Linked DNA regions of Caenorhabditis elegans. The protein of the gene in region 1 purifies or fractionates together with the protein of each later gene. This does not show direct contact. Each region holds a gene or a part of one and is shown on either strand. Other genes may lie near its edges.

Evidence for each region.
Region 2: the proteins of lin-41 (region 1) and ooc-5 purify together in Caenorhabditis elegans (affinity purification with mass spectrometry, with the first as the bait; one large-scale study listed by BioGRID). This does not show direct contact.
Region 3: the proteins of lin-41 (region 1) and nmy-1 purify together in Caenorhabditis elegans (affinity purification with mass spectrometry, with the first as the bait; one large-scale study listed by BioGRID). This does not show direct contact.
Region 4: the proteins of lin-41 (region 1) and wago-1 purify together in Caenorhabditis elegans (affinity purification with mass spectrometry, with the first as the bait; one large-scale study listed by BioGRID). This does not show direct contact.

Annotation. Positions count from the first base shown.
Region 1 is NC_003279.8:9,338,629-9,344,253, forward strand, and holds the start of lin-41 (Protein lin-41), read right to left. Parts: upstream 3,869-5,625; 5' UTR 3,690-3,868; intron 3,286-3,689; 5' UTR 3,270-3,285; coding exon 3,134-3,269; intron 3,087-3,133; coding exon 2,825-3,086; intron 2,782-2,824; coding exon 2,732-2,781; intron 2,689-2,731; coding exon 2,548-2,688; intron 2,501-2,547; coding exon 2,229-2,500; intron 1,842-2,228; coding exon 1,570-1,841; intron 1,516-1,569; coding exon 1,392-1,515; intron 325-1,391; coding exon 228-324; intron 189-227; coding exon 1-188. UniProt on the Caenorhabditis elegans protein: Heterochronic protein which acts downstream of let-7 in temporal patterning. Plays a role in the developmental timing of postembryonic hypodermal seam cell division and fusion events and adult alae production.
Region 2 is NC_003280.10:8,990,608-8,995,483, forward strand, and holds ooc-5 (Torsin-like protein), read left to right. Parts: upstream 1-2,552; 5' UTR 2,553-2,565; coding exon 2,566-2,659; intron 2,660-2,701; coding exon 2,702-2,809; intron 2,810-2,858; coding exon 2,859-3,042; intron 3,043-3,093; coding exon 3,094-3,778; 3' UTR 3,779-3,927; downstream 3,928-4,876. Other genes in the region: Brix domain-containing protein F44G4.1, read left to right, coding at 4,029-4,595, 4,646-4,876. UniProt on the Caenorhabditis elegans protein: May serve as a molecular chaperone assisting in the proper folding of secreted and/or membrane proteins.
Region 3 is NC_003284.9:2,907,339-2,913,101, reverse strand, and holds the start of nmy-1 (Myosin-11), read right to left. Parts: upstream 3,576-5,763; 5' UTR 3,547-3,575; coding exon 3,416-3,546; intron 3,368-3,415; coding exon 3,175-3,367; intron 3,128-3,174; coding exon 2,971-3,127; intron 2,914-2,970; coding exon 2,762-2,913; intron 2,680-2,761; coding exon 2,659-2,679; intron 1,992-2,658; coding exon 1,899-1,991; intron 1,844-1,898; coding exon 1,681-1,843; intron 1,214-1,680; coding exon 1,070-1,213; intron 1,021-1,069; coding exon 547-1,020; intron 493-546; coding exon 1-492.
Region 4 is NC_003279.8:7,232,770-7,239,624, reverse strand, and holds wago-1 (Argonaute protein wago-1), read right to left. Parts: upstream 4,242-6,855; 5' UTR 4,218-4,241; coding exon 4,053-4,217; intron 4,007-4,052; coding exon 3,426-4,006; intron 3,382-3,425; coding exon 2,649-3,381; intron 2,601-2,648; coding exon 2,425-2,600; intron 2,382-2,424; coding exon 2,206-2,381; intron 2,164-2,205; coding exon 1,817-2,163; intron 1,771-1,816; coding exon 1,531-1,770; intron 1,491-1,530; coding exon 1,183-1,490; intron 1,138-1,182; coding exon 1,026-1,137; 3' UTR 833-1,025; downstream 1-832. Other genes in the region: dhp-1 (Dihydropyrimidinase 1), read left to right, coding at 391-541; R06C7.2 (BEN domain-containing protein), read left to right, coding at 5,124-5,446, 5,497-5,521, 5,565-5,752, 5,800-5,965; hasp-1 (non-specific serine/threonine protein kinase), read left to right, coding at 6,505-6,692, 6,741-6,855. UniProt on the Caenorhabditis elegans protein: Argonaute protein which is involved in the endogenous small interfering RNA (endo-siRNA) pathway. Interacts with secondary 22G-RNAs, which are RNA-dependent RNA polymerase-derived endo-siRNAs, typically 22 nucleotides in length with a 5'guanosine residue.

The DNA.
Region 1 (5,625 bases):
CTGAACTCGATGCTTTCCAGGATGTTGAGCAACACAGATTGCACACAATAGAACTGAATGAGGACAATTCTCACAGATTCCAATGATTACTGAATCATGAGTTCCACACACAGAAGAGCTTCGAGGTGATGATTCTCCACTGCCAATTGAATCATTTTCAACGCCAGACACATGTCCTGAAAAGAAAACTGAAACAGTTTGAATTACTGTAGAATATCTTCATATACCATCTCCACTTCCAACTGATCCAAGTGCTTGACGAACTGATCCTCCAACATTTTGAGTGTATTGCTGTGCTTGTTGTGGTTGAACTGCACGGCTCATCTGAAAATAATACTTTTAGATTTTAGAGGAATTACGTGTTCGCCGAGCAAAAAATAATACTATAGTGCAAAAAGAGCACCGGATGAGGAGCAGACACCTCTCTCTCTCTCGGCACTAAATTGGCCCTCCGACTGGCTTGTGAATAATGGCGAAAAAAGGTGGTTGAAGGAGAAGAAAAAGGGAAACGAACGCCTGGATGTTGAAAAATGGGAATTTCCTAGTACGTGGACATATTCGGATAGAAAAATCTATAAACTTGTAAGGAAAGTATTTCAGCTCTGAAACTGCTTTCAGTAAATTGTTTTCTTCGAAATGTGGATTTTTGCAAGCTTTTGGTGATGTTTATGGTGTTTGGAGGTAAGCAAACACTCTGGGAGCTTTTTGGAACTTGGTTTTGTTTGAAAAATGTGAAACTGCTGACACAAGTTTCATTTAAAAATCTAAAAGTGAGCTGAAATACTTTCCTTGATAGTTTTCAAAAAGTTATTTTCAAGAAGTTTTACTAATGTAGTGGAACGGTCGGCAGCCAATTTTTGTGTTCTAATCCTGCAATCAGTTACTGATAAGACATTTAAAAACGGAAAAATACACCAAAAAAGTACTGATTCTGTGTTTTTTCTTGATTGACAGGAGTCATTGATTTATGATTATTGCGTACTCTTTTTATGATTCCTGATTACAAACGATTCACGTCATCAAGCACGTGGAGAATCTTGAAACGGATCAAGGTGATATTAATATAGACCACATATATTATTTTTTGCTCCCAAACTACGGTATCATGTCTCAAAATGTCAATTTTTGTAAACTACAAAAAGGTGTGCGCCTTTAAAGAGTACTGTAGTTTCAAATTTTTGTAGCTGTGAATTTTCATCGATTTTTTATGGTTTTAATTTTTAATTTTAGGTTTTCGATAAATAAATATACAAATATTTAATGAAAAACAATGGAAAAGTTTAATTACAGTACGTTTTAAAGGCGCATACTTTTTATGAATTTCCAAAAAAATAATTGTCGTGTTGAGACGCAAAAAGCGTGTAGTAACACACGATAAGATAAAAACTAACCAAAGTAGCCATCAACTGCTGAAGCTCAACGAACGCATGTTGTTTGGTGGCTCGAACACGCTGATGAGCTTGAACACAATGAATACACAAAGCTTCCTGACATTGCATACAGTAGGCGAACGATCTGAAAAATTTAAATATAATTTAATTATCTTTGAAGTTTTAGGGGAAAACTAACATTTTCGATTCGCATCCTTGACATTGAATCGGACCCATTGGCTGTTGTTGTTGTGGCTGAGATCCAAGTGGTGAAGGAATTGGAAAAGTTTGCTGTGATTGTGAAGACATTGGTGTTGCCAATTGAAGACGTGGCGTCGAGCACATGGAATTACGTGGTGGAGCTATGGTTGCAGAATGTTTTGGAACATCTGGTGATGCCATCAATGATGGTGGCATATGCATTGAAGTATTCGTTGGAGAGAGTGGAGAGAATACAGGAGTATCATCGTTCTGTAAAGAATACGAGGAATTAGGTGCAATTTCAGCTCGCAGGAGGGCGCATTTAGCAAAAAAAATTAGAAAAAAGACTTATTGAACTTATTGAAGCCAGGGAGAAAAATATGTTTCTTGGGAAGAGAGAAATGCTAACTTTTTTTTGCGAAAAAAATGATTTTTGAAATATTATGGGGCCGTAGAAAAATGCTCATTTTTTAATCGAGGTCCACCCCCAGAAGTTGGGTCTCGTTAGGTATTGACGGCGAAACCGTAAATTGAACCATTTTTCGATTTGCGACCACATAATATATAACATCATAAATTCGGGAAATTGAATTTGTTTATAGCTCCACACTCCACAAAATTGTACTTTTCTCTGTTTGAAATTTGATAAAAACTGACCACTGCCAACGAATCAAACACATTTTGCATCAACATCGGCGATTGTTGCTGGTGTCCTCCGATGCTCGACAGATTATTGATAGAAAGCTGTGATGGTTGTTGCAATGGAGACCATGATGTCAAACTGCTGTCCGAGTCGGGGAATCCAATTGGACGCATCATGAGCCCACCAGCAGACGATGGCATCCGTGCACCCATCACTGGAGACGGTGATCCAGGCATTCCACTGAGTGAGAATGAGAATGCACGAGGTTGATGAAGTGGAGTTGATGCTGGAATTTGGGTTATTCTTCGGTGTAAATTGAGAATTAAAACATACAATTAATGTGATTATTCATCGTTGGTGTCGAACAATCCGACATCAGAGCTCCACGTGGCGGTGATGGAAGCGTCGGAGACAGGTACATCTGCGATGTAAAGTTGGCGGTGGCTGTCGATACGGCACCACACAGCTTGCAAGCTAAAATTCATAAATCATACAGAAAGTTGAGATATTTATTTACCCCGTCGATCGTACGAGGACGGTGTCATCTGGTAGCATGATTGGCACGTTCTAAAAATAATTGTCATTTTGATAATTTGTCTTGAAACCCCACTTGTGCGCACAAACGAACGGCAGCACTCCAATCGTCGAGCTCTTGGAGCAGACTGAGCACCGAAAGGAGTCTTGCGGGAGTCCGAGTCCGAATCCAGTGTTGAACTGGAACTGTGGTTGCTGCTGTGGTGACTGAATCATTGACGGTGGAGTGTCAAATAGTGAGCCAGTGAACTGTGGTGGTGGTGGTCCCGAGCCAAGATGATTATCCTGATGATGATGGTTTGGTGAATGCTCACCGCGATGGTGGGACATTGAGTCACCTGAAGTTGTTTCGTTGGAAGCTTTTTTTTCAATTTTCAAGTGTTACCTTCACTGCTGCTTCCGCCCATCGACAGCTCGTTTCCGCTGTCGTTGGCGTCCACGTCGATCTCAGTTTGAAGCCGACGAGGTCCTGATGGTGCTCCTTCTTCTTTCTCCAATGAGCATGGCACGATGGTCGCCATTTCACTTTTTCCAAGTCTGAAAAGGTTGATTAATTATCAGTGGAAAGGGCAAACGATGACTCTACAATTAGAATACTTATGAATTTTTTGACTTTTCAGAACGAATGGAACAATTAATCGAACAAAAAAGTCAGTGAAGCACAAAAAAAGTGCACTTTTTATATGAAAATAATGGAACAAAATGAGAGAAAAATGGCCCGAGGGCTGCTGATGACAAGGATTTTTGATGGGAAAATCAGAAAAATGCCGCTCTTTCAATTTAATATTCGAAAATAAAAACAAAAAACAAAAAATTAAGTAGTCAAAAAATTTGTGGTAGGTCAAAATTTTTCGAATAAAAAAATTTTATTAATTTTTTTTCGACGTTTTTAATTTTTAATATATTTTCGCATTTTGCTTTGTTATTTAAAAGTTCCTCACCTTTATTCAAGATCACGATCGTTTCCAACGTCGCATTCCCGCCGTTTCCGGCTCTTTTTGTACTTTAAGTTGGTTTTTATCCTAAAAAACCAACTTTTCCCTCCTCCAGCGACGTCGAGCCTTTTCCTTGAGTAACGAGGCGATCGGCTCTTCCTTTTTACCCGTTCGCCAACCGTGGCCTGAAATAAAACGAGACTTAAATATATTAATTGAATGTTTTTCAAAAATTATCGAAAAATGATGCGACAATAAAATAATAAAACAAATGGGGTTACGGTAGCTTATCGATTTTTCCTTGAAAATACGGGGCGAAATGAATTTGAATGTATCTGAAGATATTTTTAAAGAGTTTTTTGTAATAAATTTGTTAAAATTTTATTTGATAGAAGAATTCACTGAAAACACTTATTTTTAGATGAAAACTCGTAATTTTATGTGTTGGGTCTCGTCACGAACACAAAATTTTTCCAACCGACTATGCGCCTTTAAGGATTACGGTACGGTTCTCTATCTCAAAAATTGTTTTACCAAACATTTTTTGCGACATAATTTGTTTTTTCGATAAATTTTCAAAAAAAATTAAACAAAAAAATCTGAAACATTTTTCCTTCCAAAAAATTCAATACGGAAGTAAGTTTTTGAGCAGCTCCTTAAAAAGTGATGGAAATGGCAAACATTTTAGGCTTTGTGAAAGCTTTACAGGGATTTAATCGAAGCAATAGAAACCGGGAAGCGAAAATTGAAGAATGCGAAAAACACTAACTAAATAAACATCTCGCGTTGGATTAATCAAAGTAAAATAAACAAAAACGCCCCTTTTTTCGAAATTGTAGGAGTTTTCTGGACAATTCTCTAGGTTTTCCAGGCCAAAAACTTAAAGTTGGAATTTGTCTTAGGATCACATTTTACACCGAGTGATTTTTACTATGTGGCCGCGACATACAAAAACACGGCCACCTTCCTAAAAGGAGCTATGGTCATTTTCTCGAAAATCTGCTCGTTGAAATAACTTGGTCGGCAAGCTTCACAAAGTTCTGAAGTGAAAAATTAAAGATGAATCACTGGCCGAATTTTTGGACTTTCTAGGCCACGTAGCAAAAACCAATATATTGTACGAATTATGTTCTGGATGAACCATATAAAAGATACATGTCTAACTATTCATTGCTAATTTTTATTAAATATTACATGTCCGGATATCTGGAAGCAAAGTTTCATGAATTTCGTTTCAATTACTGATTTTTATTTCTAAGACTTATTGAACTTGTGACCTTTTGACCTAAAGTCTCAAAATATCATAAAGGGGCGTGACATATCTTTTTCATATCAAGACAGATTCTAACAGATATACATTGGAAGTAACTTCAATTCATTTTTTGAAAAAAAAATCGCAAAAACCTATGGGACATTGAACACGGTGGGAACGATAAAAGTGTGTGTATGTCTGTGTGTGTGTGTAGAAGTCTTTTTCCCCTCTTTCCTCTCCATTTCTCTAAATTTCCACCCCTAGGCTGCCCCGCTGTCTCCCCCAGGCGCCCCAAATGTCTGTAGTCTCTTCGTCGTTCCCACTCTCTACACACCTGGGGGTGAGCGCCGCGCCGAAGGACTGCTGGGGGTAGGCTGCACGAGAGTGGACAGATGGTTAGAGAAAGAGTGAAAACTCTTTTTTTTTTGCGGAAAAAAGGGGAAGAAGGGGAAGACGAAGAGACCAAAGTGTTTCTCTTTCACTGGGCTCAGTGCTTTTGATCTCTGCGTGTCTCTAGTTTGTTCTCTCTTTCTCATTCTTTTTTCCATTCAGTGTTCCCCTCTCACCCCCAGTGATCTTCTCCGCCGCGCCGTCGTCGCAAAAACAGAATTTCGTGCCAAAAGTGCAAGGCCTCATGTTTGAAAGAGTAGTGTACTTTTTCACTTTTTTCGCAAAAAAAGGAGAAGAAAC
Region 2 (4,876 bases), on another chromosome or scaffold:
AACAAATAATTGAGTCATTTCCATTCAAACATGGATCACCACCATCAAACACACATTCATCGAAACGTGGAATATGTGTTTCATTTATTTATGCACGATTGGTTCGAAATATGTGCAACTAAAACTTCATTGTAAAAAATAACTTTCTTTTACATGAAAACGTAGCTAATTGTAAGATTATTTTATCATTGGACAAAAATTATTTGACTTTTTTTAATCTGGAAAAAAGTGGCTAACATCTAGGTTTCACATATCAAAACTGTGTATGTCGTCCAAAAAAGTATCCTACGAGTTTTATATTTTAAAGATGCTTCAATCGTTCGGATCAGAACATTGTTTAGGTTTTAGCCTACAGTAATCATAAAATTTGAAAAAAGTACCATATTTAAACAACTTGGCAGGTTGCCAAAACTTTGAAAAACATTTTGAAAATCAAAATATTTTGTAAGAGTTTATATAAATCATTACTGAAAATACTTTAACTTTAAGATCTAACTTCATTTTTTCCAAAAGTCTGTCCCGTTTAAAACACTAATTTAAATAAAGTTATCCCCATCAGGGATATGCGCAAATTATACAAATTAACCTATTGCGGCATGTTGATCCAACATTTTTAAAAATTAAAACGTAGTGTCAAGATGTAGAAAAATATATTATTAATCTGCAACATATATTTGTTCTAGGTTAAAACTGCGTAGGTATGTATGCTCGAAAATACATGAAAGTTGCCAATTGTATTTTTGGTAATTGCCCAACTTTGATTCAATTTTTGTTTTCAAATAAATATATTTTTGTATTTTACTAAATAAAACTGAAAACAATCGGAAAGTTGCTAAATGGTTTATTAGTTTTTTGTGATTTCCAAACAAGCTATTAGAAAGTTTAATCAAACTTTCTTTTGTTTGATGAAATTGAAGACCTTATAAAACTTTTCTGAAGGTTGAAATATTTTTGAAAGCATTTTTAAATAGAGTTATACATATAACAGAAAAGCTAATACCCAAGGTAATTCAAATATTAATCGATTCGTGGAAAAGTGTGAAAAGTGAACTTGGAATAGTCGGGGGAAAATCAAAATCAAATAGAAATAGTTAAACATAGAGAGACCCGATAGATAGAAATAGAGAAAAGAGTTGAAGTATTTTGAAAAACTTTGATAACGGGGAAGAATCGACTGATCACGCACAACCATCATCAGCCAACAGCAGCACCGCCCCTCCCCGCATTTTATGGCAACAAGAGCAAATAGTTTATCATTCTTGTCACCATCTAGTATAGAAAAAGTACAACATTTTTGTGGTGAACTGAAAAATGTGACGGATTCCAATTGACTCATCCAGATGTGAATTCAGAGAATAATTGAACATGTATTGTAAGAATATGAAAGAGGAAAAACACATTATTTCGGAATGTGCTATTCCAAAAAAGATCCTGCAAAATTTTTTTTCAAACAAAGAATCAATTTGCCTGATTACAAGAATATACCAATTTCACAGAACGATTGGATGATTTCGGAGATTGTCGACGACAAAAATGGAGAGGGAGATTATTAGGAGCTAGATATCGATAGGTATCCGAAAAAAAGTTTTATTCTAACATTTTTACTCCTCCTCACTTCTGAAAAAATATTGTTCGACTTAAAAATTTGAAATTCCCAGTACCCTTCCTGGGCGCGTTCTGCAGACATAGCTATTACCGTATTTTCTTAATTAGTCTTTCACACTCTAAGGCCACTTGAACATTAGTATGCAGGTTCTAATAGTCTTTCGCTGAAGTTTTGACAGACCAGCGATACCTTTTGGAAATTTCAGTAAATTCGTCATTTTTCGGGCAGATTAATCTTAAAAAACGTCCAAATAACCGATGAAGTATTGGAAAAGTATGTTTTTTTTAGAGCTTTTCTTGGAAATAAATCAATAAGCAGTATTGGTGTCTTTTATATATGTGTCTTTTATATACCCATTCTATAAGCTTAAAGGAGGGCACATTTACGCGGAATGGTCTCGGCACGCGCTCCAAACTAAGTTAAAAACGTTTGGCATGTGCGTCTTTAAAACTACTGTAGAGGTTTTGCAAGCGAATTTTTATCGATTTCCTTGTTTTCTTCCTATTAATCGTTTCTTTCAGTTTCTTTTCCAATTTTCTAGAAATTATGTGTTCAATTTGTGTTTATTAGTAATAATGAATGTTATAGACAAGAAAATAAGCATGTTCACTAGGAAAAACTCTCTTTGATTATTAGTTTTCTGTATTTTATTTGTACCGCTGTTTTTTTTCTTCTTTCAATAATTTTCAATTTTTCTACCCAATTAACAATTGTAGGCTTCCAAATTCCACTTTCCGAAATTTTTTTTATGGGTTACGGTGTACAAATCTGCAAACAGCGCCACATAAAAATGCACGGATATTTTTGCCCGTTTGCAAAAAAAAAATTTTTGCCTTAATTTTATTATAATTTTATCAAATTCATGTATAAAACTATAGTTTCAATTCCTGGAATTAAACAAAACTTCTATTTTTATTTTTCGTGTCCTTTACTCGAGCGTAATATCAATTTTCAGGTGGATGAAACTTGATTATGTTCTTCTCCTTCTTTTCCATTTGTGCTTTGTCAACACGGAATTGATAAGCGTGATTACCGGTAAGATTAAAGATTCCGGTGAGAAGAAGTCGAATTTTTAATTATATTCGGTTTTTTCAGGCACGACTATCGCGATATCGGCCGGAGCGTTTTGGGGTCTTAAGGATCGTTTAAAGTGTTACTTATATGAATGCTGTCATGAACCTGACGTAAATTTCAATTATCACAGTAAGATATTTTCCACCTTTTCACTGAATTCAATTATTCTTAATTTAAGCACTGGACGCGGATATTGCAAATCTACTGTTTGGCCAACATTTGGTAAAGGACGTCGTTGTAAATTCCATAAAATCTCATTGGTACAATGAAAATCCCCGAAAACCACTGGTTCTTTCGTTTCACGGTTACACAGGCTCAGGAAAGAACTATGTCGCTGAAATTATAGCAAACAATACGTTCAGGTTCGGAATTTGTTAAATTTTTAGTTGAAAAACAATAATTTCTAATTCCAGGCTTGGACTCCGCAGTACTTTTGTCCAGCATATCGTGGCGACCAATGATTTTCCAGACAAAAATAAACTGGAAGAGTATCAAGTTGAATTAAGAAATCGGATTCTAACAACTGTACAAAAATGTCAACGATCAATATTCATTTTCGATGAGGCTGATAAACTACCAGAGCAGTTGCTAGGCGCAATTAAACCGTTCCTCGACTATTATTCGACAATTTCTGGCGTGGATTTTCGAAGAAGCATCTTCATTCTACTAAGCAATAAAGGTGGAGGAGAAATAGCAAGAATAACAAAAGAACAGTACGAAAGTGGCTATCCACGTGAACAACTCCGCTTGGAAGCTTTCGAACGAGAACTTATGAACTTCTCATACAACGAGAAAGGTGGCTTACAGATGAGCGAGCTCATCTCAAATCATCTTATCGATCATTTCGTTCCATTTCTACCGTTACAACGAGAACATGTCAGAAGTTGCGTTGGTGCTTATCTTCGAAAACGAGGAAGAGGAGATCTGGTGTCCAACGTGGATTTTGTCGAACGAGTTCTTAATTCTCTACAATACTTCCCTGAATCTTCCAAAGCATTTTCTTCATCCGGGTGTAAACGAGTCGACGCTAAAACGGATCTAGAAATGGCCAAGATACGGCCACTTCTCTCAAGTGTTCATTTCGACGATGAACTATAACAATTTTTCTTGTTCATATCAGTATTAGTTACCACTATATCTTACTTAATTTCTAAATTATTACGGGAAGCTGTACATGTAAGCTATTGCATTCCTCGATGATTACCTCATTTGCCAATTTTTCAAACAGTATAAATATTCTTATTAATTTTTAACTTGATTATTCGCTATGCTTGGGTTCAATATCCAGTTTATATATATTTATGTATATTTTTGATGCCTTGTTGAAAATGCTCGTACTTTGTTTCAGATGGCTCCAAAAAAGTCCAAGAAGTCAAAGAAAGAAGAGTCGATGATTGATTTTGTCGAAGAAGAAGTTACTGGTGACGTCGATGAAGATGGTTTTGAACAAGCCGAAGACATGCCAGATGAGGTGGATTCAGATGAAGATGAGCCACCGAAAAAGAAGAAGAAAGTTGTGAAGAAAGAAATCAAACAAGAACTAGAATTGACCGATGAGAAGCTTCAAGAGTTACTGGAAAAGTATGAAGCGTCTAAGGCTACAGCCACAAAAACAAAAGACGACTTCAAACATCTGCCAAAAAGTCAACGTGGAAAAGCATTGAAAAGAGCATTGAGAAAGGACAAAAGAGCCAGACAGGGAGAAAGAGCTCAGATTCGAGATGAACTGGGAGAAAGTGCTCCACAAAAAGAAGTTCCAAAAACTATTGAAAGTATGCGGGAGTATGATGCGACGATGGTAAATGAAGAAGATGACGAAGTTGAGCACGACGAGGCCAACGACGAGTTTGCACCATATTTCAACAGAGAAACATCTCCAAAAGTAATGATCACAATGACTCCAAAAGCTAAAATCGTAAGTTTCACTTCTAAAATATTCAAAGCATTGATTTACCATATTTTCAGACAACCTTCAAATTCTGTTTCGAACTTCAAAAATGTATTCCAAACTCTGAAATATTCACAAGAAAGAACGTATTGCTCAAGACAATCATCGAACAGGCTAAAGAAAGAGAGTTCACTGATTTGCTTGTTGTACACGAAGATAGAAAGAAGCCAAATGGAATTATTTTCTGTCATTTGCCTGAAGGACCTACTGCGTATTTCAAAATCAATAGTCTAACATTCACACAGGAT
Region 3 (5,763 bases), on another chromosome or scaffold:
AGTGTGGAGATGTATTCCGAAGAGTAGTCATAAGCTTTGTAAGTTGCTCTTTGTGCAATTGCGAGACAGTTCGGAACATTCCCTTGCGAGACCTCATTCCAAATGCAGTCTCATTCATTTCCGCCGCACAGATGCCAGCAAACTCGGCGTCCTTCCAAATTCCAGCAACAAACGGATCAGTGGAGTTCTGCATTAGTCCAACAACATTTTCATTCAATGGATCCATGTTTTTCATGAGCCATTGATCAGCAGAGTAGTCGACGCGGCCAGCGTAGTGAACAACGGCAAAGTGGCTCTTAGATCGCATATCAGGAACAATGAACTTCGGATGCTTGTTGTGTGTTTTCTGAAGCTTCTCAACAAATGACTTGTCGTTCGCTTTAGGGAAAAGGCATTCTTCATCAAGAAGGGCCAGAACTCCCATTGGTTTCTCAATAAGATCAATTGTCGGCTGCAAATCGAGTCCGAAATCAATGAAATCCCATTCAATTCCTGAAAATATTATTGTAAATCTTTGCAAGTTACATTTTCCGAAAAAAAACAAACCTTCTCTCTGATACTCTTCTTGTTCTAAAATGAACATGGTATTGTTGAACAACTGTTGAAGTTTCTCGTTTGTATAGTTAATGCAAATTTGTTCAAATGAATTGATATCAAAAATTTCAAAACCAGCAATATCGAGAATTCCAATGAATGATGCTCCTTGGCGGTGAGTTCTATCAAGAGACTTGTTGATTCTGGTCACAAGCCATTTGAACAGCCTTTCATAACTGGCCTTTGCAATGGCCTCGACGGCAAACTCGGCTTGTTCCTGGTTTTGTGCCTTGTTCACAAACTCTCTTCCAACTTTGATGCGTGGACGGAGGAACGCCTTCTGCAGCTCGATTACTGGGAGACCAAGAAGATGGCACACCTTCTGAATCACTCTGTCATCCTGAAGCATTGCCTGATCACTCTTCTTCTCCTGAGTGAATTCCAGGTTTCCGAGAAGAAGGACGGCAGAAACAACACGCATAATTGCTGAAAAAACATGGTTTTTTGATTTTCAGGTTCAATATGGTTTACGTACATGAAATTTCATCGTCGGCAAATCCCATAATGCGCATGGAGTTGATTGTGCTGTGAAACTCTTGAACATCGTCTACGTTTGGAAGAGTTATTCCACGATTTACCAAAAATCTGTAGTTGTCGACTCCTTCCAAAAGGTACTCACCTGAAATTATTAGTTAAATGTGGAATTTTATATAATTTTTTGATACATGAAAAAAACTCAGTTTTTGTCACTCTTTTGGGCTTTCAAATGTTATGATCAATTAATGTTTAAAATGTTGATATTTAAACACTGTAGGGATTCAAAAATGCGGTAGTGCTATAGTTTTTTGAAAAAGTAGCACAAACTCAATAACAGCACTTTTTTGACCGTCAATTAAATTTTTTCAACATTGATTTTGAAAAGTTTTGTTATGATATTTGGTTACACTTATAAGTGGTTTATAACCATTTTTCCACTTGGGTTACTCCTGTTTCAATTTTTAAAAGGCCTAACGGTTTTACTTAAAAATTTTCAACGTCATTTTTGTCAAATGATGAATCACGCATGATTCACCAGGCTAATAAAAACAAATGCGTTCGGTTTGTTATAAATCCAATTCTTATGTTGGATTTTATGACTCAACCTACTTTTTTCTTTGGCGCTGCATCCTCTGAGTATCTGATAGAAAATGTGGAAACTTCTTTCGTCTTGAGCTTGACGAAGCACTCTCGATTTTTCCAGCAGATAAAATTCAATGTTCGCACCACTAATGTAGCCGCTCATGTCGAAATTGATACGGATAAATTTACCCTGAAAAAAAAAACCAAATATGCACGGGGGGCAAGATTAAAAATATCACACATACGAATCTGGAAGAGTTGTCATTTTTCACTGTCTTCGAGTTACCAAAAGCTTCAAGGATTGGATTGGCTTGAAGTAGTTGATGTTCCAATTCTCCCTGAAAACTTCGATATTAAACGTGTAAAACTATTTTGCAGTGGTGGCTAAATGAATTAACATGACTTTGATCAGGTTGTGAGCACAATAAAACAACATTTTTTGATTCGAGGATGAAGCTCTTTGGGAATAATTTGTTTGGAGAAAGCCGTTTGGATTTTAAAAGCATTTTTTATAATAATCTGTTTGCAGCAAATGGGGAAGAACTGCATCTTTTTTGTTGATTTCCTTAAAGGAGGAGAAACGGTTTGAAAATTTTTGAACTTATAAACTTTAAAATGTTCTCGAATTTTTAAAAATGTTTTTTCCACAGCTTAAAAATTTCGAAAAAATGGATAACATTCGCCAAAATACTCAATTTTGGCTTATTACGACTTTTTTTAGTTGAGCACATTTTGGGTATATACCTTCAAAATACACAAAAACCGTTACTGCTTCTTCAAATCAATTAGAACAATTAACATAATTAGATATGATTAGACAAGTTTTTTTCTGTTGGATTTTGTTGACATATTAGAACAAGGTGATGTACTGAACAAGAAAAATCAATAAATAAATTGTTACGGAACAATATTTTTTGTTACTGAAATAGTCACAGAAAAGTGTATCACGACAATGTCACGACAACAATTCACAACAAAATAGCAAGATAACAAGATCAAACTTACGATCGGATTGCGGACATCTGGCTAAATATATCAATTATAATAATTATTATTCTTCATCATATACCTTTTAAAGTAGATGTAACAAATATTTATAGTAACTAACCTTTTGAACAATATTTTGCTGTGCAGCAGCATTTAGCGACTTGTTTCGAGTGGCTCCAGCAACGTGAGCCAAATATTGAATAACTTTTTTCGTGTTTTCAGTTTTTCCTGCTCCAGACTCTCCGGTACACAGGATCGATTGATCTTCGCGTTCTGAAAAGAATATGATTTTTGCAAACGCTTTGTTTGGAAAGTATGTATATTGCTCACCTTGAAGCATACTTCTGTACGCAGTATCAGCAATTGCAAATATGTGTGGTGGCATTTCGTGTCTCTTTTTTCCTTTGAACTCTTCAATCAAATCTTCCGAGTAAATTGGAAGCTTTTTGTAAGGATTGATAACAACACAGAAGAGACCAGAGTAAGTCTAAAATAGTTATTTTGAAATTAAAATGTTTTTTTTTCTCAACTCACATAAATTAAACTAGAATAATATCTGTCTTTCAAGTTGTGAAGTACCGACGCTTCGTTTAAATACGTCAACTCTGACATATCTTCGATCTTGTCAAACTTTGGTGGATTCGCTTTCTGAACGTCATCTCTGCTGATTGTGACCTGGCGACTCGTGTCCACAAGCTCGACGAGCACTTCATCGTTTGTTTCTCGTCTGAAATTACTACCGATTACGGAATGAGTTGAGAGCACGCAAACTCACTTGATGGATCCAATGAGAAATCCTTCGTTCTGATCTGGTACCCAGCACAGTTTCCGCTGTGCCCACGCGGCAAGTGTGGCAGGATCGGCAACGGCCGCCCTCTGTACCTGCAGGTACTGCAGGTCACCCATTTGTTAACTTCGTAATATCTGAAAATTGTTTTCAATTTTAATTGAAATTGAGATCCGTTTTGCTATAAGATGTAAAGAGCGGAAAATGAGCCGAAACTGAAAAAAGAAGAGAAACGAAAGTGGGCGGAGAAGCGATGGGAAAGCGGATGGGCGCAAAAAATAAAACAATAAGAAGAGGTGAGTCACGTGTACGATTGAAGCAAATCAAATTTAATAAACATTTGTTCTCCAAACAATCATGTACAGTTTTGGTCGTTTTAAGACCAAATGCAAGAGGCCAAAATGTGCAAATATCATAATGAAAGACTCCAAAAATTTTTGGATTTTTTCAACTTTCTAGTGAAAGCTGTGGTGAATTGCCACATTTTTGAAAATATTAGTGTTAAGGAAATTATGTTTAAAAAAAATTAATTTAAAAAAATTAAAGTATAAAACTTGCAAAAATTTTTTTGCTCGGCTTCCAAAATCATAAGTTACAAAAACTGGGGCATGTTTTGACAGGAAATAAAAAAATGTTTTTAAATGTTCTACAATGATATTTGGTAATTCTTGTACCACGATAATAGTTTCAAACACTAAATTTTGAAAACAAAGATTTTGTTTTCAAGACTTTCTTAAGACAAATGGAAATTCAAAATCGCTTCCAACGCTTGTGATAGAAAATATTATTCTAAAAAATTCTAGACAAATGCTTTCATGCAGGCGGAGCTTGGAAAGGCGGAGAATCTGGGAGGAAACGCGGGAAAACGCCAACAAAAACAATGTGTTCCTGGGAATGAATCATCTGTACGATTTTTTTTGAACGATTCGTTTTTATAAACATTTTTGATGTCCGTTCCACGCCAGAAACATGGGATTGGAATTTTTTTTTGGTTGGGTCTTGAACGGAAATGAAGATGAAGCGAACAATGCAAAAGTGTTTCAAGTTGGCATTAAAGGTAGTGTAGCGCTAGTGGGGAAAAACAATTTTTGAAACATGCATATGACACTACAAATTTCATAATAAAAATATTTTCAAAAAATTTAAAAAAATTTAAAATGGTATTTTTAAAATTGAAAAAAATCTTAGTTTTTGCCACTTTGTGAAAGTCGTAGATCAAGAAAATTTCCTAGTTAATTTTATGGTCTATTTATGATAAAAATATTTGTATTAAAACACTTATAGTGCTCTAATTTTTTTTCAAAAAGTGGCAAAATCTCGGTAAATGCCACTATTTCACTGTCAATAAAAAAATTTCAAAAATTTCAAATTTGTTGTGAAAAGTTTTATTTTGATATTTGGTCATTTTGTCGCCATAAAAATGGTTCCTAACAACTTACCAATTGGGAACCTTCAGATTTGAAAAATTATATGGGGAAGTTGGATTAAAACAAATAAATCTAAAAATGGACTCAAATATAAATAATGTGGGACAAAACGCTATCGAGGTCAAGGAATGTAACCGATTTGGATTTCAAAACGTTGATGGAAAACAGAAAGACGACAAATTACTGGATTATAAATAAAAGTGCTGAAGGAAGCGAACGATGAACAAAGAGAGAAGGCGGTTTGGTGAGAGGATGGAAAGTACGGACAAGGTGTCCAGTTGTTCTCCAACAAGAAACGAAGAATCGCCTCTCCTCCTAAGCGGCTGTTATGTGGTACTAGACGTGTGTGTGTGATCGAGGACGGATACAGTGAGGGTGTCGAGTTAAATCTCTCAAAACGTCTCAGGCAGTGTGGAAGGGAAGGCGTCGTACGGTGAAAGTGAACAGCGGCGAACAAGGCGAACACGAAGAAGGACCTTTCGTTCGCATCGCCGCCAGGTAGTCAGAATAACTCAGCGGGGACGAGGTTGCCGCACGACCATCAGGCTGGATTCAGGAGGGAAGGGGGGGGGGGGGGGGGAGTGTGTGAAGGATTGGTTCGAAGAATTGATGTCCTTGATTCGCGCGCCAACCCAACCTTCTTGTCGTTCATCCTTCTTCCTCGCTCTCTTTCTTTCTCTAAGCACATCCAACTTTTTCACCTTTTCTCATACACACACACACACACAGACACACGCACAGTCGCACACACACATACATAGATATATACACATACAGACATACAACATGAAGAAACTATTTGTCACCTATCCAACTCTTGCGTATAGATGACCCGTATGATGCGTGTACTTTTCGGATATGGATATGCAGAACAGAACGCCGGTGTTCACGGAGATTGTGATCACCGCC
Region 4 (6,855 bases), 2.1 Mb from region 1:
TGTCGATTTACGGGCTCGATTTTTGAAATGAATTTCTTTTCGAATAGTGACAACGATATTTTGTAGCTTTTAAGTTTTCTTCTAATATTTGATCGATTATTTATTAAATGATGTCCGTAAGCGCTACAGTAGTCATTTAAAGAATTACTGTAGTTTTCGCTACGAGATATTTTGCGCGCCAAGTATGTTGTGCAATACGCATTCTCAAAATTTTGTGTTCCCATAATAGCATTTCGTACATGGTTGGAAGAAGGTTTCCGCACGCTCATTTTATCGTCTTAATTTTTGAAGGCGGCCAATGCAAAAAAAAAAAAATAATCTAAAAATGTTTGATTCTTGTATTCAGACATATTCTCTCAATGGCACAACATTAACCACAATCTATTACAGAGGGCGAATTGTATGGGCTCACGGAAAACTTCAAACAGTTCCCGGATCTGGGAAATTTATTCCCCTTCTTGCGAATTCACCATTCGTTTTTTCAACTCACGAGAAAAGGGAACAGAAAATTCAACCAAGGATAGTTGAAAGGCTTGAATGAAATTGCTTTTTTATTTATTACTTTTCTTGTTCTGATTAACTTTCGAATTACCATTTTGAGTTAAAAACGTGAATAAATTGTTTGTTCAATATTGAGATTACAACCAAAAAGTAATATTTAGTCGACTAGTCAATTGACTTGGAAGCAGCTCTAGAAATGTTTAATGTTCCAATTTCAAAAAAAAATCGAACAAAATTCCCCCTCATTATCAGACAATCTTCGTTTTCACTTGAAGATCCTCAAAAAACATCGCCTCGAACTTTTACGCACAAAGCAAATCTTTGAAAAATATTATCAGCCTAAAACTTTTATCATACCGAGTTTAATTACTACGGGTCACACAGAACCACATTACAAAAATATAAAACATTTGACTAAAAAATTACAATAAAACTAGCGGAAAAACCGTAAAATTATTATCCTAGGTGACCGTAAAATTATTATCCTAGGTAAAACATCAAGTGTATGTGGCATAGCTCCAAATCTATGCATTGACGCGCTTCTGATTGAGATCGGTTTGTTTGTAGCCGATTTCCTTTGTAAGTTCCTTGAGGCGCTCGCCTTGCGACTCCTTTGCTTCAATTGGTCCTTTAGTCCTGCAAAATATAAATAAATTTTTGTTTTAAACAAAAAAAACCTACGTTAGTTCACCCCAGAGATCTCTTCCACGCTTTGCATACTCATTTGCCACATAAAGTGGAGTGGGAATCGACGTGCTCAGGGAAACAATTTGGTGATGATGACACAAAGTGAAGGTCAGCTCCTCCAGGCGGTCCATTGGAGCTTTGCAGTCGTCAGCAAGAACAGTGTACAATGGTGTCTTTGCTGTTCCTTGAAGAGTCGTGTGACCGTTCAGGAAGAACTGCTTACATGCCGGATTCGTGACAGCGTTATCCAAGACAATGCCCGGAGGAATATTCATTTCAGTGGCTTTGCCGCCCGAACGAAGCTGAAAAGTTAGCGTAAAGAGAATAATAAAACAAATTTACCTGATCACGGAAGAATCGGTAACTGTGCTCCTTAGTGACGACGATGAAAATCAATTTGATTTCTTTCGAGTAACCATGGATAATAGCTCGGGCTAATGGGATTTCATAAGCCAGAATAGAAGCGTGAGAACCCTCCGATGCACCACTTCTATAAATGATGATTCTTTTTGGCAACGCTTTGCGGTTCTTTTCGAACAAATCGATTGAATTTTGCAACACGTCTTCAATTGATGCCATTGTCTGTAAAAATTACCATGTTGTTAACTCGAACACATTAATTATTTACGTCCTGTCCGGAGGGAGCCAAAACGAAATCGCCGACAAACTCGTGATTTGCAACAGCATTTGAAGCGAAGCCAATGATTTGTGGATTAAGATGTCCCTTGTTATCCATCATGTACTTCGTTCCAGCCGGTGGTGCGGAAACGCCAACTCCGATGATCAATTGTTCGTCGGTCATGCTCTTCTTTGCATCCGAAACAGTGTAGTTAAGACCACCTAACTTCACGTTAGTTTTGTTGATGATGTTCTCCAACGTCAATCTCTTCCCATCTTTGACAACGGCATTGGCTTTGGAAATTTTCATATCCTGGACGATCATCATTGTTCTCTGTTCCAAGGCTTTGTACTGCTCTGAAATTTTCAATGAACCATGAAAACTTAAGGAAAACTTACTGTGGAGGTGAACGATTGCGTCATCAGTGATCATCAAGACATACTTGCACTTACTCGCAGCCACTTTTTCCAGCTGAGTCATAATTTTTTCCGTACTGTAAAGTCCTGTTTCACATGGTGGCTTGATCACCATGCCTTTCTTCTTGCAAGAATCAATGAACATTCCGACGAGTTGGCTTAAGAATTGAATTGATTCATGTAAATTTCTATTTGTCTTACTTGACATCTCCAATGGAGAATCTGCAACCTGGATTTCCAACAGCGTAAGCAGCCCACAAATCAGGAACAGTCGCAGGCTTCACAAACCATCCTGGAGGCGCACGCCATTTTCCCATATCCGACATTACCGATCTCTGGTATACAAGTTCTTTTCCATCAAGCTCACGTGCTTGGACCTGGAAAAAGAAAACAAATATATTTTTTTACAATTTACACAAACTAACCATCAGAGGCTCCGAGTAAACCTTGATTCCAAGAGCGACGAGCAACTCGTTTTCGAGTGTAATGTTGACAGCATTTTTACCAGTGATGATCATTCGCTGACGGACATCCGGAAGAACCGCGCACTCCTTCGTTGTCTTTTGAGATTGATTTCCCGTTTGCTGAGGAATGGTGACACGTTGATTTCTGGACACAGTCATCAGTTCAGCCGGGAAGTAATTGTTGTTGCCTCGATCCTTACAAACCACCAAATTGGCGTTCGGATACTGTAGACTGATCTTGTATTTGTCCGCATAGTACTCGGCGATTGAACAAGTTTTTCCATCGGGCAACTCAAATCTGGTCTTTGTGGCACTTTCGTGAAAGATACCTTCGATTCTTAGATGGCGCTTTCTGTTGGTATAAGTCGAATAGCAATCAAGTCCTTTAATCACTGCCGCAGCCTTCTCACGGGTCATATTATTGAGTCCATTTGAAGGATCTTGTCCCGTGATGTCGAACAGTTTTTGGATCACAGTTTGCTCTTTGTGGAAAGCAGCTTTCATACCATCAATCACGAGAGATGGATTGTTCTGTCCGCGACCATAAGGACCCTCGATGAATTGAATCGTCTTCTTGAGGCCAGGATAAAGTTGTTTTCCGTCTCCTACGTCGACACAGTCTCGTTGATCGAATCCTTCTTCGGTGGCGTTGAGGAAATATACTTTTCCGTGCTCGAAGCATCCGAAACGATTTCTAAAATGAAGCGATGCTTTTAATAATTTTCGAAATTCACTTACGTTTCTCTCACGCAATGTTGATTCAGAGCAAGTTCCAAGAATTGAGTGTATTCTCGATTGTTTACTTCAATGTTTTGATCCGCAGTACGCTTGCCCAGATTTTCAGAAGAGAGCGTGATAGAGTTGTCCCTTGGGGCATAAATCTCGAGAGAAATGCAAGGCAGGGTCTTAAGGTCGTCATTGCCGGTATCAGCTCCGTTGATTTGGAAGACTTTGGACTTCGTACCGTTGGCATCCAGTTCTGAGAACAAGTTGACCGTCGTGTAGAGAGTTGATTGACCGTCATATACAATCTGATTCCCATCCTTCATTTTGAAGAATTCCGGGTTCTTCTCAACCGCAAGGAAAAAGATGTTGCAACACTTATCGCGACGATCCTGAACGACGAAGTCCTCCTTTCCTTTTTTAGTGAAAGTCACTTCCTTTGTTGAAGTCAAATCGGCCTTTGCGTGAACCATAAAACGATGAACTGTGGTTTCCTTTGTGACTTCAATTCCGAAGACATTGGTTTGGATGTCCACTGGTCTGCCCATTTTTCCAGGTTCGGTTGGCTTCATGTACATTTTCGCACCATCCTCAACCTGCAAATATGGCATTAGAAAGATCTTTGAATGCTGATAAACATACGTTTAACTGTTGTAAACGCTTGATGCATGCGTCGTTGCCAGTGCTTTGGTGAAGCTTTTGAGCATCGGCTGGAACTGGAGGCATTGGAGTCATAGCTCCTGGTGGAGCAGTGACTGGTGGCATTGGAGGCATCGGTGGATGCGGTTGTGGTGGATGAGGAGACATCTTATTACTATTGCAATATTAGTTCTGAAAAAAGCTTATATAAATAATATTCTGCACCGAATAAGCGAGATTGGAGAACATCTATAGAAAATTATGAATTTGTGAGATATTTAACAATAGTTTAAACAAATAAATCAGTTTTCTTCAAGAGATCAATCTAGAACGAAAATGGTACGTTATGAAGAAAGGGCAAACTACGGAATTTTCGTATTGCCGACGAAAAAGAATAATGATTCGAGATTTTTCGGTGTTTCAGAGGCGGCATAAAAACAAATAACGACTAGATTTGTACAAAATCATCATTATTAATGACGCAAGAATACAGAATCCGATAATTGGCGGCTAGATCAAATGTAGATCACTTTTACATTTTTAAGATTCAACGAGCAAGTTTCTTAAGATTTTGTAACTAGATTATTATTAAAATATAAAAATAATCTTGAAAATTAACAAAAATTATTGAAAACTGTCACAAACCGGAAAAGAATACAAAAAACAATTTCTTCGTCCTAAAAAATTTAAATGACAACGCATACAGTACATAAGAATGGAGATCGCTGCGAGACCCACTCAGTGTTAAAACGAACGCTCCTTGAATTTATTTTTGCTGTACAGCCTTATTTTTCTCCTTTTTACAAGTATTGTGTGCTTTCCATGTTTTAAAAAGTGACTTAGTTGTTAATTTTATTTTGAATGATACTCATCTAATTCAGGCTTGTAGCTTAGATCGCAATGAAGTTAATCGTTTGCAACCTATGTGGATTCCCGCCAGCAAGAAGGCAATTTTACATCACCACCTGCTCTCACATCTTGTCGAACAACGCAGACTGCTGGATTTTGTTATTTGTGTAAGGTCCCTACGAAAACTCTTAAAATAGATGGAAATCTGCCGAAAATGTGCGGAAAATGTTCAGCGCTGTACATCCCGATTCGCGACGTGACTGTAAAAAGTACAGATATTCTCAAACGTCTCACCAGAATTATTGGTTTTTAAAGTATTCAGAATTCAATTTATTAGGAAAACGAAAAATAAAAGGTAATTTTTTGCACTTGTTTCATGCAGAAGAAAAAGTTTTATTTCAGTCGGTGATGCTAAAAGATCAAACGGCGAAAACAGAGAAAAGGACACAGGAAATCACATGCCAACTGTCGAAGCTAGCCAATTTTGAGGAAAATAATCGAAAGAAGCTTCAAGATACTGAACGCGAGAACAAGAAGCTTCGAAATTTGTAAGTAGTTTCTGCACGAGATTAAATTTAACATTTTTTTTCTATTTTAGAATCAATTCCCTTGAACTGAAACTTGTCAGTTCTCCTGTTATCGACAATAACGATTTTTTTATTCAAGGAAAATCTACCTCTTCAAATCCTTTTTTTTTTAATCTCGGAAAATGACGAATTGCTCGAACGTGTATTTCACTTCCATTGTGCCACCTTCACCAAATTGTCAGACTTCCAACTTCTTTTTTTTCCAACACCAATGTATGTTGCAAATGAGTACGCGAAGAGTGGTCGTAATTTGTGGAATGAAGCCATGTGAGTTTAAGAAAATGACAACAGTTGATATTAAAATATTTTTGCAGCATTGCGGATGCAATTCCCGAAGTTTCTGGACCAGAGGCAGCTCGTATGAAGCAGATTACCGATAGCATCAAATACAAGGAATCCGGCTTCCTGATCGACCGTCGTGTCAATGCTTCAGCACTAATAATTCAATCAAATTGTAGTATTTTCAATTCCAACTTCTAGTTTGTGAGAAGCATACCATGATTTTTTATTTGTATCCCACCCTGTCATTCTTGTTTTTGCGTTACATACAATGCGTATCTAATAGTAAGTGGTGTAACTGCTAATTTCATTTTCCCCCGTTGCCCTATTATTGTTTTGACCTACGTGGAAATTGATTTTTTGTTGTTGTTGTTGAGTGCAGATTATAGAATGTAGCCTGTTGTTATGTTAAGTTGTACGTGCAATGTTGTTGTAGTCTCCTTAAACCCATAAAAATCATAAAACTTATTTCAGTTTTAAGTTTGAAAAATCGGGATCACCAAAATAATATTTCTTTCGCTTTTTTGGTTTTGAACAAAGTTTTAGATTGGGAAAATTTTCAAAAAACCAATACATGGAAATTTTATTTTTTTTGTTTTTTTGTTATGGAATACCAGTGTTCTCCGTAGAGCGCACTTTCATTTATATTTTCGGCGCGTTATTTATTGTTTCAAACCAACTCTTTGCATTTTGCGCTACATTATATAACGTTTTAATCAATTTCCACTTTTTTTTGCAGAATGCCTCCTAAACCCCGAATAAAAGTGCCAATATCGCCCGGGAAAAAAGCTCGAAATAATTTTGCCCGACGAAATCGTCAATTGTCAAGCGTAATTATCACAGAATGCCCGATCGACTTTCCTGAATATGAGTTTTCAAAAAATCCGGCGCTGTTTAAGTCGTTTAATGATAATCCAGAGTTCAAACCGTATGTTAAAAATTGTTTTCAAAGTAACAAAATTTAAAATTTCTTCAGAAGCAAAAAGAAGAATAAGCCAAAACCAGTGTTCCCACCATCTCCAAATGTCAGTGATGTCGAAATATCAAGTGATGAGGAAGATGCTGGACAATTTAAAGTGCCTGATGCAGAT